2 linked regions of the Astyanax mexicanus genome follow. The protein of the gene in region 1 interacts with the protein of each later gene in a pairwise test. Links are inferred from orthologs where the notes say so. Each region holds a gene or a part of one and is shown in the gene's direction. Other genes may lie near its edges.

Region 1 (8,409 bases):
AGAAAACGTAACAGATTAAACATTTCAAGAATGTTAATTGTAACATCCAGAAAACCTTTTAATAACCAAAACACACACACACACACACACACACACACCTCTGATGACATGTTTCCTCTTTCCAGGTTGTTGAATGTGGAGCTACATTATTATTTATTTCCTCGATTCAAAGCTTCGCCCTGTTTCATCTTAAAGTTCTATGTTAAATTTTTTACTCGGCACATTAAAATATTTTCAGTTAAAAACATTAAATCTACCCTGAGAAATAATATTACAGTAAAACCACACTACACTATTATTAATCTCCCCATAAAGTTCTCTAATTTACTTTATTACCAGACAGAGGATCCATTTTTATGCTAGATAACTTCATGTTAATGAGAATTTAAACAGAATTTAAAATGTCGAGGTCAGCAATTTTTTTTCATTTGTTGTACGATGATTTGATTTCGTAATTAGAATTAGAAACATATTTAATGTGTATTTTTCTCTTTCAGGTTGCAAATTATGGGATTGGAGGACAATATGAACCTCATTACGACTCTGCAGTGAGCTATACAACTAAAAATTAAAACTAGAGAATTTTAATACTCTATTATAGTTGTGCAGTTTTTCTGAATATGTCAGTAAATATATATTACAGTATTACGCATAAATACAGTATATTTTAACTGTATTATTGCTGTTTTTACCCAACAGGTGAATAATGACTCTTACTTTCAGCTCAGAGGAGGAAGAATCGCCACTGTGTTGATTTATGTAAATATTTTATTTGGTAATATTTTAGAGCATATTTTCAGTTTAGTTTATTTGATGTTTAGATAATTAATTTTAATATAAATTTCTCAGCTGAGTGATGTGGAAGTGGGCGGAGCTACTGTGTTTCCAAATGTTGGTGCGGCGCTGCAGCCTGAGAAGGTCAGAAAATCTTATCAAATAATTTTATTAGAAAAATACAATATAATACATCCAATCACAAAAATACCCCCCCCCCCCCAAAAAAAAAATACTGTCAGTACTGCTTTTTTTAAATTAGAAGATAATAATTAGTATATTTATTATATTTAAGGTTGGTTCGCATTGAGACACATATATTCCACATGTGGTTTAGTACAACTTAGAACTCCAAGTACTTTCTTTTCATCACATTTTCTAATTTCTCATTAATAATTATTAAAATAAACTTTATTTATATACCACATTTCCTACATCAGACATGTAGCTTAACGTGCTTTACAGATTTATATAGTGGAATATATGTAAAATAGGGAATGCAGATACAAAGTCCAGCTATTAAACACAACTTATTATAAAAATAATTCAATTTTTTAAAGGTAAGACAAAGCAGATCACTTAATTCAAGGGGAATAAGAGCAGGTTAAAATAATAAAATGTAGAGAGTAAGAGTCAAAAATTGAAGTAATTTAGAGAAATGGATAATAAAAGTAAAAAGCATAAAGATAAAATAAATAACATTTAAATAAAGATAAGTAAATCAGGTCATTAAAAGCTTGATTGGTTTAAAATTCCGTGTAGTCGGCGCTCGTTTTATTCATCTGTACCTCTGTAACTGTTACTCAGCATGACCCTAAACTACAGTTTGACCAAACAAAAACATGATAAACTATGAGGGGCTCTGAGTGGTCCAGCGGTCTAAAGTTCTGCCACTATGATCTGGAGATCGCGTGCAGCTTGCCATCAGCTGCCGGAGCCCCGAGAGAGCACAGTTGTCCTTGTTCTCTCTGGGTGGGTACAGTACAGTAGATAGCGCTCTCTCTTTCCCCTCATCACTCCTAGGGTGATGTGGATCAGCACAAGGCTGAGTCTGTGAGCTGATGTATCAGAACCGAGTTGCTGCGCTTTCCTCCAAGCGTTAGCGCTGTGATGCTAATCGGCAATGTTACAGCATCAGCAGCAGCTCAAAAAGAGGCGGAGTCTGACTTCACATGTATTGAAGGAGGTGTGTGCTGGTCTTCACCCTCCTGGTGTTGGAGCATCACTAGTGATTGGGGGGAGTCCTAATGAGTGTTAGGGATAATCAACTGATAAAATTGTGGAGAAAAGCAAGATAAAATTAAAACCAAAAAAAAACATAAAAATAACTTGAGATATCTTTCTGAAATATTTTTTTTTTGTAACGCAGGGTTCAGCAGTGGTTTGGTTTAATCTGCTGAAGAACGGAAGTGAGGACAGCAGGACTCTTCATGCTGCGTGTCCTGTGTTTATTGGTAGTAAATGGGGTGAGTTTATAAATAATTCTATAAATTCTGCATCTTGTCAGAATTTTCCTCCATGCTTTCCTTGCATAACTTTATGCCTTTATTATCTTGGTGCATAATAATATAAAAATATAAATAATTTGCACATATATGCACATATACTTTTACTGTATATGGCTGTATATTAGCTAGCAGCTATTACACTTTATACAAACAGCTTCAGAAAATAATGAAATGCATTAATTACATTGAATACATACTAATATATTACTTGAGAATATAACATATAACAATTTTTATATTTAGTACTAGAGTTAAGTATCCAGGGTGGAAAAACACAAACGTTATTGAGATATTCACAGCTATTTCTGCTTCCTGTGAATCTTATAAACAGATGTGTTTAACTGTTTTAAATCTTTTAGTCGCCAATAAGTGGATCCACATCCGGGGGCAGGAGTTCAGGAGGAGGTGCTCTCTGTCCAGATCTGACTGAAACTCAGGAGATTAAACTGATTAAACTCCTTCAATATACTTCCTCCCACAGCGCAGAATCACTGCTCACCGCTGGTCAGTTTTATAGTTGTATGTTTTGGTGGTTGAATATGTAATATGCAATAAATCATCATTGCGTAAATCATGAACTAATAATAAAACCTGTCGATTATTGATATTATTTTGCCTGCTGTGGTGTGTGATAGAAAACAGTGATATTTCTTTAACTTTAGAAAGTAGAACAGTGTATTTCACCAAAAATGAAAGAACTTTCTGTATTTCCATTTTTCTACAACAAATGATTTTGTACAATAGAGACCCTAACATTACTGTGAGCTGATTGGTTGGTGAGCTGATGCTGGAGTTGCAGGATAAATGTATTATTAAAATATTAGTTTCTGTCGTAACTCAAATGATGCAGATGTATAATCAGATACTGTATTATACTATATGAGGACAGAATATTAAGATATTGATAATAATAATAATAATTGTAAGCATTGGTCTGTCCTGCAGAGTTTTAGTCAGTATGTTGGTGTTTGGACACACACGCACACACACACACACATACTTATATTATAGTGTGTGTATACAGAGGTCGATTTAAGCGTGTTTATTGGTAGAGTATCGATCCGCGCGGTAAGATCTGTAGAGTCTCCGCGGTTCTGTTAAACCCGGTTCTGCGCGCGGTCAGATCCCCGGTACCGGGATGATTATATATAGAGATATTTATATATATATTTGTATATATGTATGTATATAGATAGAGAGATATACAGTGCTGGGTTTGTATTCGGTGATACGGTGAGCTCATCCTCAGCGCGCGGAGGGCGGGGCTCGCGGCGTCACTACAACCCCTCTCTGCAGAGATACAGGGTTTTATTTCCCGCCCGTTTTCCGCTTCCCGCGCCCTGATTGGCTAATAGCTCAACACGTCAGAAGGACTGCGCGTGAATAACAGCCTCCTCAGAGAATAGATAAATAAAATCACAGCACTAAGTACACTCCTCACATTATTATTAATATTTATTATATTTTAATATGAAACACTGAGGATACGACACTTTAATACAGTGTAAATTATTTATTTTACAGCTTTTATTACAGTGTAAATTTATGGTTCCTCAAAATAATTCTAATATGTCTAAACCACTGCAACAGAAGTAAAACTATGTGATTATTTTGTGATCACCATTATTATCCAGTCCTGCCTGAACTTTCTTGGTTGTGGAGCTCATCAGAGTTTCACAGGTTATATCTGGATCCTCCTTTACTCTTTCATGATAATCACGTAGCTGGTGGATGTTAGAGATCTTGGGATCTTCCACTTTCTGTTTGAGGATGCCCCACAGATGCTCAATAGAGCAGTTTTCTTCTGAGAGGTGAGTTTGTGTTTGCAGTTGTTATCGTGTTGAAAAACTGCAATACAGCCCAGTAGTTTCTGAAGGTAAAACACAGGCGTGGTATTGGGGGGAAAAGTGGATCTGACTACCCAGGGCCCGAGTAGGGAGCGGGGCCCATGAAAATCCTGATTTGTTTTTTTGTTCAAGTTTCTTGTGTACTGGTATGGATAGGGGCGCACTGACATTGAGAGTGTACAGGACCCAGAATTTGCTGCTACTCCCTTGAGGTAAAGGATCACGCTCTGTGTCAGAATCTTACAGCACATGTTGGAGTTCAGCTCCCCAGTGCTGGCAGCTCTCATACAGCCCTACACCATGATGCTACCACCACCATGCTTGACTAGGGACAGTTGTCTTGGTACTCTTCACCAGGACACCACCACTCATACTGGATGCCATCAGAGACAAACACCTTTATCTTGATCTCGTCAGACTACAGGACACGGTTGCAGTAATCCAGGCTCTTGGACTGCTCATCTTCACTAAACTGTTTGCAGGCTTTTTTTTTATTTACCAGCTTTAGAAGAGGCTCCTTCTAGGAGGGTTTAATGCAGATGGAGTTGAGAGGAACCCATCCTGATAAACTGCTGTATGAATATCCATTGGTCAGTATGAGAGAATTAAACCCAAAACACCAAATTTAACAGCCCTGATCCTCATTCTAATAATAATAACGAGTCACATGACACAGATGCACAATTTGGCCATTTAATTTGTATCAATTTTGCAAAATAAAAAAAACATTTTCTAAATGAAGTTTTCTTTGCATTATTTGAGGTCTGAAAGCTTTTTTATTTTTCATTTTCTGTAAATAAATGCTCTAAATGAGAATATTTTTATTTGGAATTTGGGAGAAATGTTGTCTGTAGTTTATAGAATAAAACAACAATGTTCATTTTACTCAAACATAAACCTATAAATAGCAAAATCAGACAAACTGATCGTTTTGAAGTGTAAACACTGAGAATAATGTGCTACACTAAAGATCCACAGCAGAGAAATAACTGGCCAATAGCAGCGCAGGAGGAAGCAGCTAACCGGCCAATGGCGGCAGTGTGGGCGGGGCTTGCCGCAGTACAGGTGTGATGGGAGGACCGGGGCTGCATTGTGCGGCTGCTGATGCTGAGCGGGTCGGGGGGGGTCGGTTCTCGCGCTGTGGATCCGGGTTTGGGTTTGAGGTCGGCGGGCCTCGGTTCTCCGGTTCTCCTCGGTTTTCGGTAAGCGGCGCTTTTATCTTTTGTTTTACTGTATTATAGGTACATTTGTATCGTCGCGCGGGATATCATTTATAGAACAGGATACATTGTATCGTTATCACCGTTAGAACATGGCTCCGGTGAGGCTCGTGGGCTAACCGGGGGTCGTTTACGCCAACGGGTTTCCGCGCTCTGAGATACAGTGTATATATTTATATCTGTTTCTTACTGTATAAATCTGAATATAACGCGCAGAAATTATAAGCAGACTGTTATTAAAGCGCGCAGGAAAATATTGTAGCACGTATTTCAGCATCCGGGCATTTTTAAAGCGCATCCGTACCGTTACCCAGCAGGCCGCGGTTTTAGCGTTACGTTACCGTAACAAATAAAACAGCAAATCCGCCGCAGATTCAACATATAAACCCACAAACTGCAGCATGAGAATACAAAATATATCATAGCTGTCTCTATATCAAGAGTGGTGTTTCCATATATGTTATCTATTTATAGCTGATATATTATCTGGATATATCTAGATATTCGTTTATAACATATATGAATGAAATACCCATTATAATATTTATATGTGTACATATTGTAAATATATATGAGGCATATTCTTATGGTAGATCATATATGTAGCATTTCTATGATACATACCATACTGTATTTTACATACATGACCATGCATATATATATGGGCCAGACATATGTCAATTTATGTAATATATAAAGAGGTATATTATAAAAGGTTTTGTATATAGTTTGCATATTTTCGTACATATGTGTTTTTACTGTGTATGACCATATATTTAATTTATGACAATCTAATATATGTTCATACTGCATATTATGTTTGTGTAAGTTTCACATCAGATTCCCACAGTGATGAATTATAATAATATGCTGGTATTAAGGGCTGGGCTGGGCGTTATGGCCCTAAGATAATATCACAATATTTCAGTGTGTTTTTGTGTTAAAAATATTCTTGTCAAACTTTTAATACTTTTTATAGTGTAACAGTTTTAAACATTAAATAGAAACAAAGTAAGTTTTTTTCTGTTTTGTAAACAACAGTAACTTATTAAAATCATATTAATGTATTAAAAGAGGATTAGAATCTGATTTTTAAAAACACAAAACACGATAAATTCTGCACATCATGAGACTTTAAATACTGTGATATAAATTTGTTCGTATTTTCCAGCACTAATTCCTGGTATTTTATTATTTAGGAGTATCTTCAGAAACACAGATACATGAAATGTGAAATATCGAGTATCACAGAATCACAGTATCGTGATAATATCATTATCATTACCTGCTGTGTGTTCATGTGTGTGTAATAAGTGGGGGTGTACGCTCGGCTCAGCGCGCCTGTGTTACCGAGATAGCGATGAACGTCTGACTGTTGGCATCTGTCTAGGTTGTATTCAGTCAGTGGAGCTCCTGTGTTTTCTGTTACCAAGATAAACAAGATAAAACTCCAGAAATGTACCTGAACACACCTCATTTCCAGAACACCACGCCCATCAGTGTAGATATATTCAGAAGCTCTGCTGCTGTTTAAACCAGGCAGGAGAAAGGGGGTAAGATAGCAATGAGCATCACGACAAGCCTTACAAAGGGTGTAAGATAGATCCCAGAGTACTGATCTAAAGCCTCTTTGTACTTTAGAACAGCATTGATGGTTATTTTCCAGATGTGTAAACTAAGCTGCCCACAACTCCAAACCATCAGAGATACAGACTGAACTGATACTGATAACAATCTGGATGCTCCTCTCTCTCCTCTCTCTCCTCTCAAGTCGACAGAGCACAACGCCTGTTAAAAGAGTTTCAAAATGTCCTTAATCTTTTCAGCAGAACCGTGTTCAGTTAAAAGTTTGGCTATTTTTTATTATTTAAAAATGTTCTGTATTGTAGATTAATACTAAACTCATCTAAACTATGAAGAAAAATATTTATTAACTAAACAAAAAAGTGTTAAACAAACCAGAATATTGCACCGAGTGGTCCAGTGGTCTAAAGCGCTGCCACTATGAGCAGGAGGTCGCAGGTTTGAATCCCGCTCATGCAGCTTTACCATCAAGCTGCCGAAGCTCAGAGTGAGCACAGTTGGTCCTGCTCCCTCTGGGTGGGTACAGTACAGTAGATGGCGCTCTCTCCCCACATCACTCCTAGGGTGATGTCTGCAGCACAGGGCGTCTGTGAGCTGATGTATCAGAACCGAGTCGCTGCGCTTTCCTCCAAGCGTTAGCGCTGTGATGCTGCTCGGTAATGCTACAGCATCAGCAGCAGCTCAAAAAGAAGCGGTGGCTGACTTCACATGTATCAGAGGAAGCATGTGTTAGTCTTCACTCTCCTGGTGTGTTGGGGCATCACTAGTGATAGGGGAAGTCCTAGTGAGTGGGTTGGGTAATTGGGCGTGTAAATTGGGGAGAAATGTGGAAAAATTTGAAATAAAATTATAAACAAAAAGAGAATATGTTTTATGTTTTTCTTCATAGTAGCTCCTTTTGTTTAGATGATCAGTTTTGAACATCTCTGCTGGATTTTCTCAGTCAGTTTTATGAGGTAGAGTCTCCTGGAATTCAGGCTTTCAGTTAACAGCTGTGCTGAACTCATCAAGAGTTAATTACTTGAATTTCTTGTCTCTTAATAAAGTGTTTGAGAGCATCAGTTAAAGTAAAGTAGTGAAGAGGTAGAGTTACAGGTATACAGTGAATAGGGAATATTTGAGTAATGTTCTAATCCAGATTATGAGAAGCAGCAACTACTCAACTAAATAAAGAAAAATATTTGAAAGTGAAGGTCAATCAATTCGAAAAGAAGAATTTCAGGAACTTTGAAAGTATCCTTAAGTACAGTCACCACACAGACCATAAAACTCGTTATGATGGCCCTCATCAGGACCACCCCAGGAAAGGATAGAAGAGCGAGAGTTTCCTCTGTTGTACAGGATAAGTTTATCAAAATTACCAGCCTTAGAAACCACAAGTTAACAAACAGCTCCCCAGATAAGAGTATCTAAATACTTCACAGAGTATTTAGGTTTGTTTAACACTGTTTTTAAGTTTCTACATGATTCCTTATG
Region 2 (8,154 bases), on another chromosome or scaffold:
AGGGCTGTGTTTTGGCTAGAACCGAACAATGCAATACTTAAAATACACAATACATATGTATATGATTCAGTATATCATAGGAAATTGTGATACTGGAAGCAAAGCAATATATTGTGATTGTTTAAAGTTTGTATTACGATACATATGCTAACAGCAATATACATTACGTTAAACAAAACAAGTGTGTGAATATAAAGAGAGTTTTCATAATGTCTTATATTATAGGTTTATAAAAACTTTAAACATACTAATATAAGGCTTTATGAAACCTGTCTTTAGGAAGAGACATATTCATACACTTAAGATGAAAACTAAACTTTTGCACCCTTATTAAAATAATTACTTACTTATTTACTTTTGATGTCTTAATCACCTTTACTTGATGTATAGGCGCTTCTCTTATTTAATGCAATTTTATGAAACAAAATATGTTCTTCTATTGCATCACTTAAAAAAACAAAACAAAAAAAAACACCTGAAATATCTTTATTAATAAAAAAGTGTATGTTCTCGCTTTTTTCTCATATACAGAACCTTCATATAAAAATAAATAACCTTCAAATAAATAAATAAAAATCTGTGGGAAAAAAGCTATATAGAATAAAGTTACTGATGGGTTTTAACTTCACCCTGTAAAGACAGAAAGACGGTGAGAATAGTAACAGGATGTTAACAGGATGTGCAGCAGGGTTATATGTGGGTTGTTAGGTTGTGGTTTAGAGGATAGAGAGATAGATATCTGCAGCACTAGCTCCCTCTTCTGACCAATAGGAACAGCCTTCCTTCTGTTGCACCACAGTAGAAAACCACACCAGCAACACCATAGTAAATACACACCACCCACCTGTTTAATGTGTTTAAAGCTGATTCACTGATTTCTAACACTGAGGCCAAAAATCTGACTTCCTTATTGATGTGTCTGAGAATGTATTAGAAGTTACAATGGATTATTAGTTATAAATATAGTAACAGTCAAAAGTTTGGACACCTTCTCACTAAATGTTTTTATTCTCTCCCCTACATTGTAAATGAATACTGAAGTCATCTAGATTATAAAGGAACACATATGAAGGTCCTGATGAGAGCCAGTTTCATCATAACTTTGTAGACTTTTGATGGTCCTTGGGACTGCACTTGAGTTTTTAAAATGTGTTGGATTACCTGACCTTCATTTTCTACAGTAATTTTTTTCTTGACTTTAATGGCTTCAATAATAACATATAGTAGTTTGATATTACGCTTGTGTCTTACTTGTGTAATAGAGCTTTTGAGAAATATCTCTTTTGACTTAAACATTGAGTATTTTAGGTCCGTTTATAGTGTTTATGGAACTATTTAAAATATTTAGCTATTTTTAAAAAGGAAGACGTGTTAAAGTTGCTCACGTTCTTTAGCTGTTTTTTGTTAATTCAGTCTGATTTCTTCATATATTGTTTTATTTTGTGGGACACAGTAAACCTAATACTGATCAAAGCCTTATTTTGATATTTGATGTTTGATATTATATGTACTCCTAACAGTAGAGTAAATCTTAAACCTGTATTAAATAAAAAATAAAAATACAGTGATATACCGTAACACGTCAGAATACCGACATTTGTGGTCAAACCACCCAGCACTACTACAAACTATGTAACATATTTTGAAATTGACATGATCCTCCCCATTCATACCAATGACTGTATTTAACAAGGACTGGGCAACTCAAATATGAAGCCACCACAGGTGTAGTGCCTCTGCTGGCTAGTTGTAGTATGACCTGTAGCTTCATATGACCAGACCCATATGTTTTAATGACAAAAGAGTGCATTTTTTCATCTCTGATCTCTGTTGTGTAGACTCTGGGTGCAAATTTGACAACATGGTAAACATTTTTGGATTCATTTCTATAGAATGTAAGGGAATGGAACTGTATCCAGGCTAGGCCTGTCACAATAGCTTTTTTTTGTGGACGATATATTATCTCAGAAATTATTGCGATAAACAGTATTGTAATTTTAAGACCATTTAAATGTCACTGACGTTTATACAAATGTTTTAAATACAGCACAATTTTAAATAACCATAGTCTGGGAAATGTAAACTCTTTTCTTTCTTTACCTACTGCAGTACACACTGTGTGTATGCAGTTGCTGTTATTATTATTATTTTTTTTACAGCATGACTGGCTAAAATACTGTTCTCTGTTTTAGGGCTGGCCCGAATAGCGTTTTTTGAGCTCCGGATATTCGGCACTGATTCGAAGCAAATATTTGAATATTCGTTTTTAAAAAAAGAGGTAAAAAAAAAAAAAAAAAAGCAAATCACGGCCCCTTTAATCCACTGAAAAATGTTCAATTTGCTCTGACCGACGAGACATATTCACCCCGGATTTTTGGTGTTTTTATCCCGGATTTTTGTGTTTTCACCCCATATTTTTTCTGTGTTTTTAGCCCAGATTTCTTTGTGTTTTCATCCCGGAATTTCTGCTGCCCCACACCGAGCCTGCTGCTGCACGGTTTCTCCGCTGCGCAAGCCAGCCCAGTAAATTGCTGTTTGTGTTTTCACACTTAGGCTATTTGCTTAAAAAAACAAACAAAAAAAACGTTTGTTCAGGAAGTATTTTATATTCTTAAACATTGTTGATTATATTAGAGGACAGTCATTGTAAACTGTACTTGGTCTATTTCGGTTAAAGGATTGTGCAGGGCATATTACTGATTTTGTATTTTTGCACTTGGGCTATAAGCTCAATATTAAATATTTCGTTTGTTTAGAAATTATTTTATATTTTTAAACCATGTTAAATTATATTAGAGTAGAGGAAAGTCATTGTTAATGACGTTATTGTACTTGGTCTATTTCGGTTTAAGCATTGTGCAGGGCATAGCCGTATTACTGATTTTGTATTTTTGCACTTGGGCTATAAGCTCAAAATTAAATATTTCGTTTGCTTAGAAATTATTTTATATTTTTAAACCATTTTAAATTATATTAGATAAGAGGAAATTCGTTCAGACATCATTTTTGTAGGCCAGGCTTTTGTAACCGATTTAGCCCCTACTGTTGCCACATTACCCCTTACGTTTTATTATATAAATCAGTTTCGAAGAGCCTGCATTTTTTTTTTATCATGTATAATAGAGGTCTGCGCGAGACTGATTTTTAAACCCACTCTTCCACGCTCCCGCGTTTCTGTCTCGTTACCGCGCCGCAAAAAAATTGCTTCTTTTAATCCCGCGCCCGCCCGCCACATACACATTTCTGCCGCTCCCGCCCCACGTTCCTAATGTAAATTAAATAAACTACATTTAATGCTTCAAATTTACTTATATATTTATTAAAACAGCAGCGCTGAATAGTGTGGTCCCGTTCCTTACCCCAGTCCAAACACCATCGGTGTGTGCGTGTGTGTGTCGGTCCATCCTGCGCGTTGAGAGTTTTCTTTAGGTTTTTTTTTTTTTACAATTATTACATATTATTGTTTTCTTAACTATTTATTAATTTGCTCCCGCATCGTCTGGATTAAACTCCCGCTCCAGCCAATAACAGTTCAGTTCTGTCCCGTGCGCAAGATATTCTGACGGGACCCGCGAGAACAGAAGTGGTTAGAGTGAGGTGGAACTCTGGAAAGGAGAAAAAAACCGAATATCCGAATACCAAAATTAAAAACCGAATACCTACTCAACGAACGAATATCCGAATACCCGAATATTCGGGTCCAGCCCTACTCTGTTTATATATGTGAACAAACGTTCAAATAAATACAAATAGGCAATATCACGATTATTGTATATTATTGATGTAGTGTCCATTTATTGTTCGATAAGTCGATAATGTGATTATTGTGACAGGCCTAATCCAGGTTTTTATTGTCCTTAATTCATTCAAAATTTAGATTAATGGCCGCTGAGTGAACACACTGGTGTGAGGCAATGTCTTTTAGCAGATCTCATGTTTAAGCTCCAATTTTCCTGTAACCAGGACTATTTTTGTGGATGTTCACGTGTGTTTCTCATGGTGCCGGTCCGGCTGTTCAAACTCACATTGACAATTATGTCATTAAAACTTTAAACCAGCTCAAAACGAAAAAGCTTTCTTCTGTCGTGTCACTGTGTCGCTACAAATCCCTGCAAAGACAGCCAATCAATAGGAACACTCTGGTTCAGATCATTGCCTAAAACTGACTGCTGTCAAAAGGGATATTGTGTGTTAGTTTGCACAACGCGCAGACAGTGCCAAATTAGAAGCAAATCCAGGGCAATGCCACTGAATAGGCTTAGAGTTGCACACCCCCGAGGAATTTCTCTGACTAATGAGAGAGTGAGAGTTGTTAGTTGGGCCTGAGTCTTCAGCTCAGTTTACTTAATTTCTCATTTTTCATAGGACTCGTAGGGTTGCCCTTGTATCTCGTCTTCATCTGATCCTCCTGCGTCTGATGCCGTGTTTCGTTTTGTGTTTGTTTACCTTGGATCACACGTTTCTCGGTAAGTAAAAGTGCCAGGGTAAGGGGAATGGCATCCCAGTGAGCCAGAAATAGCTCCTGAGCCACCACTGATCACAGGGCTTATTAGAAGAGGCCAGGAAGATCACAGTGTACCTTCCCCCTGTGCTCTAGTCTAGCTTGAACTTTACTTTGTGGGATCTTCTGCCATGTCGGTTGGTTCTTCCTCCGTGACGGAGCACCAGCTCAGTGAGTTTCAGAGTGCTGTAGGTGCTGTTGATGGCGTTGGTGAGTTCCAGGTGTGTTGAGAGCTGGTTGTGCTGCGTTTTCTCCTTCTTTGCTGTGACATATTAAGGCTTTTTAACTTGTGGTATTGATCTGTGACACATGAGCATAATTTAGGTGTTTATGAATGTGAATATGCCTATAAATTGTAATTACGGCTGGAACATTGTTGAATTAAATAAGCATTTGGATTAAAATAATTTTGGATTGGGTTACTAACTGTGGTACATGTACCACTGGCAACATGCGAGGGATCCTAAGATGGTATTCCTAATTAGAGTTTAGATTTCAGATAAAGTTTCGCACATTTTTCTCCCCAAATTAGCTAGGTCGATTGTCCCATTTATTTAGCTGCTACTCAGCTGTATATCCCCAGTCATTAGTGATGCTCTGACACAATAGTGAGGCCCCGAAATGCTGATGCAGCATTATCAAGTAGCCAGCGGCTCAGAAGAAAAGCACAGTGACTTGGTTCCGATACATCAGCTCACAGACGTCTTGTGCTGATTGACATCACCCTTGGGGTGCTGAGCCCATTGGGCCCCTTTGGCTAAAACCCTAGGGGTGATAAAGAGAATGAGCGCCATCTACCCACCCAGAGAGAGCAAGGTCAATTGTGCTTTCCTAGGGCTCTGACAGCTGATGGCAAGCTGCATGACCGGGATTCGATCCAGCGATCTCCAGATCATAGTGGCAGAGCTTAGAAAACTCGAGCTGGGAAACTCGCCGCCCTAGGTCTACAATTTGTAATGCTATTTTTTATTTTATTTTTTATTTTTTTGGGGTGAAATCGAACAGACTATTTTCTAAACATTGAGTGCATTCCTATTTTTATGTGTAATTCTGATCCTAGCAGTTCCATTGGTTGTAACACAGAGTCTGGGGAGATCGCGGATAGTTTGAAAAAACAAAAATGAAGATTAAAAAAAAAAAAAAAATGCTCATCTGAGTTTGTGCTCGTCTTTTATACTGTGGGGAAAAAAGAGACAGCGTTTCTTACTAATGTACTCAGAATGCAGAGATATGCAGAGAAGTGAAATATGTAATTTTGTGACTTTATTTAATTTGTGCAGTTTTGTTATTTAATTTTATTGTAGTAAATTTTATACTTGTAATTGTCATGTTCCTCCTCAGTTTCTAAAATAAATTGCTCTTAAATTCACTTAGCATGAACTAGCTGACTTCTGTCTGAAATGTTTTTTTTTTTTTTTTAAGAATAACAGTTTTGTTTACTTAACTTAGCTTAGCTCTACTGGTCTTGCCCCCCCCAGCAGCGAGACCTGCTGAATTAGAAGGAAAACATTGCAACACCATAAAATATGCCTTATAATGTGGTGCACCTTATGTATGAAAATAGATGTTTATTCCCTTACCCTTATAGTGCGAAAAATACGGTAACCTAGATAGATAGATAGATAGATAGATAGATAGATAGATAGATAGATAGATAGATAGATAGATAGATAGATAGATAGATAGATAGATAGATAGATAGATAGATAGATAGATAGATAGATAGATAGATAGATAGATAGATACTTTATTAAAATTAAAATTAATTTGTCCAACAGCACACAAATAATAAAAATAATAGTAATACTAATAAAGAAGTAACACAAAAAGCATACACAACAGAGTCCATACCCAGGTACAAAAAAGTGCTAAATGGTGCTTAATAAGTACACACATCAGGTGTTAAGCAGTAACCTAGGGTCTGAGAGGATGCCACTGTGTTGTCACACATCACTCTTATATTCCTCTGTTTAATGATTTCTGAGATTTGCTTAGTTTTACTTATTTTAATGCTACATTGTTCAGAAAAAGTGGGATCTTTTCTGGTATGTCAGTTAAAAAGTTTCAGAATCACTCTTCAAGTGGCAAGGTGTTTTTGAAATGGTCTGAGTTGGAAGATAAAGGATATATTTATATAACATTATATTTCTTTCCTTTATGTGATGTGAAATGGGTTTGAAGCCAGGCCTAGCTTTTCTCTTTTCTCTTTTTAAAAGATGGCTTTAAATCCCCAGAGCTTTTATTACCGCATGCATCCAAATGTTAATGCGTATTTATATACATCATGCCTGATTTATGCGTATCCATTTCAGATGGTTTCAGAGGGCCATGCAACAAAACAGAACTGTCTTTATGTGGTTGCAGACGACATTTAGCAACCTACTATGAAGTATATTATATTAGTGCTTCCAGAACCTATTATCTTACAACTGGAATGTTATCTCAAATATGACTTTGTACTGGGGGATGCATTATAATGAGTTTTAAAAGATAGAGAGATTTGTTTGGTTTGAAGTATGTTGAATAGATTGATGGATTGATGTCTGCTTGTTTTATATTGGCTTGTACTTAAATATACAATACCACACTGACTTTCTATACTGGTCAGATGACGTGAATTATCCTGCAGGTCAGTGCAACATGCTTTAGCTTCCATAGGACATGGCAAAAGTCATGGGATACAGTACTAGTTCCAGTGCCAAGATGTGTGTACGAGTTTTTTGTCGCTTTTGTTGTAGTAACTAGAACTTGATTGCAACTATTGACAAGAGTATTAGTGGTTGGATCTAATCTCTATTTAATTGATCTGTTTATATTTACCTATTATTAGGGATGCACAGACATATTCAGCTCTGAATGGAAGTAAAAGTGCTGAATAATTTAAACTAAACAAACAAAAATGATTTATTTAAAAAAGGGCAAAATGAATGAAAACCTGCAAATGTGTTCGTTATTCAACTTTTATTTTTTTTTATTTAATTTAGAAGCATTCTGTCCCAGTATCATTTTACTCCAGGGTGTAAATCTGACAAAATGTCCTGTATGGTTAATATCACTATGTACAGTACTGTGCAAAAGTTTTAGGCACCAAAGCAAATTACACTGATCCATCTCAGCAATACGAGGGTTTTTACCTGAAAAAAAAATTACCACATATGATTTAAACAGATACAAATAAACATACAAACAGTAAAATGTAACAAGGAATTCTCATTTTTAACTAAGTATGTTCTATCCTGTGAGCCAAGCTGAAAAACAACGTGTAGTTCCCGATTTCTCCTGGATGATTTCCTTCAGCCAGCATGTGTATATTATGTTCAGTTCCGTCGGCAGCTCACCTGATTTACCACATTTACCAGTAATTTACCAAACCAGAACTAGAAATAAATAACTCTATTAAACTCAGATGAGGAGGAGAGATTAGGAAATGTTTTAAGGAAAACAGGGCTGTAAAAGCACTGCTTTTTATAAAATTGCTGTTTGTATTTATTGTAATGCTGGTGTTTTACTGAGCTAATAAACACTTACTTCACAGATAAGAAGCTTTTTCTGTACTGAAATCCCCACAGGTGCCTAAAATTTTGCACAATACTGTATATTGCAACAAAAAAAAGTATAGCAATGTCACTTTTATCAAAATCAGGCAGGTCCTA

Evidence for each region.
Region 2: the proteins of jakmip2 (region 1) and zgc:103755 interact in binary tests that used the Homo sapiens proteins (3 or more experiments, as listed by UniProt). The two-hybrid records come from large-scale screens. The link is inferred for Astyanax mexicanus from reciprocal best matches to the Homo sapiens genes JAKMIP2 and CLIP4.

What each region holds. Positions count from the first base shown.
Region 1 is NC_064424.1:118,735-127,143, reverse strand, and holds the start of jakmip2 (janus kinase and microtubule-interacting protein 2), read left to right. Parts: upstream 1-5,220; 5' UTR 5,221-5,331; intron 5,332-8,409. Other genes in the region: prolyl 4-hydroxylase subunit alpha-1, read left to right, coding at 498-548, 700-759, 850-918, 2,144-2,240, 2,642-2,712.
Region 2 is NC_064421.1:10,919,667-10,927,820, forward strand, and holds the start of zgc:103755 (CAP-Gly domain-containing linker protein 4), read left to right. Parts: upstream 1-4,532; 5' UTR 4,533-4,632; coding exon 4,633-4,711; intron 4,712-8,154.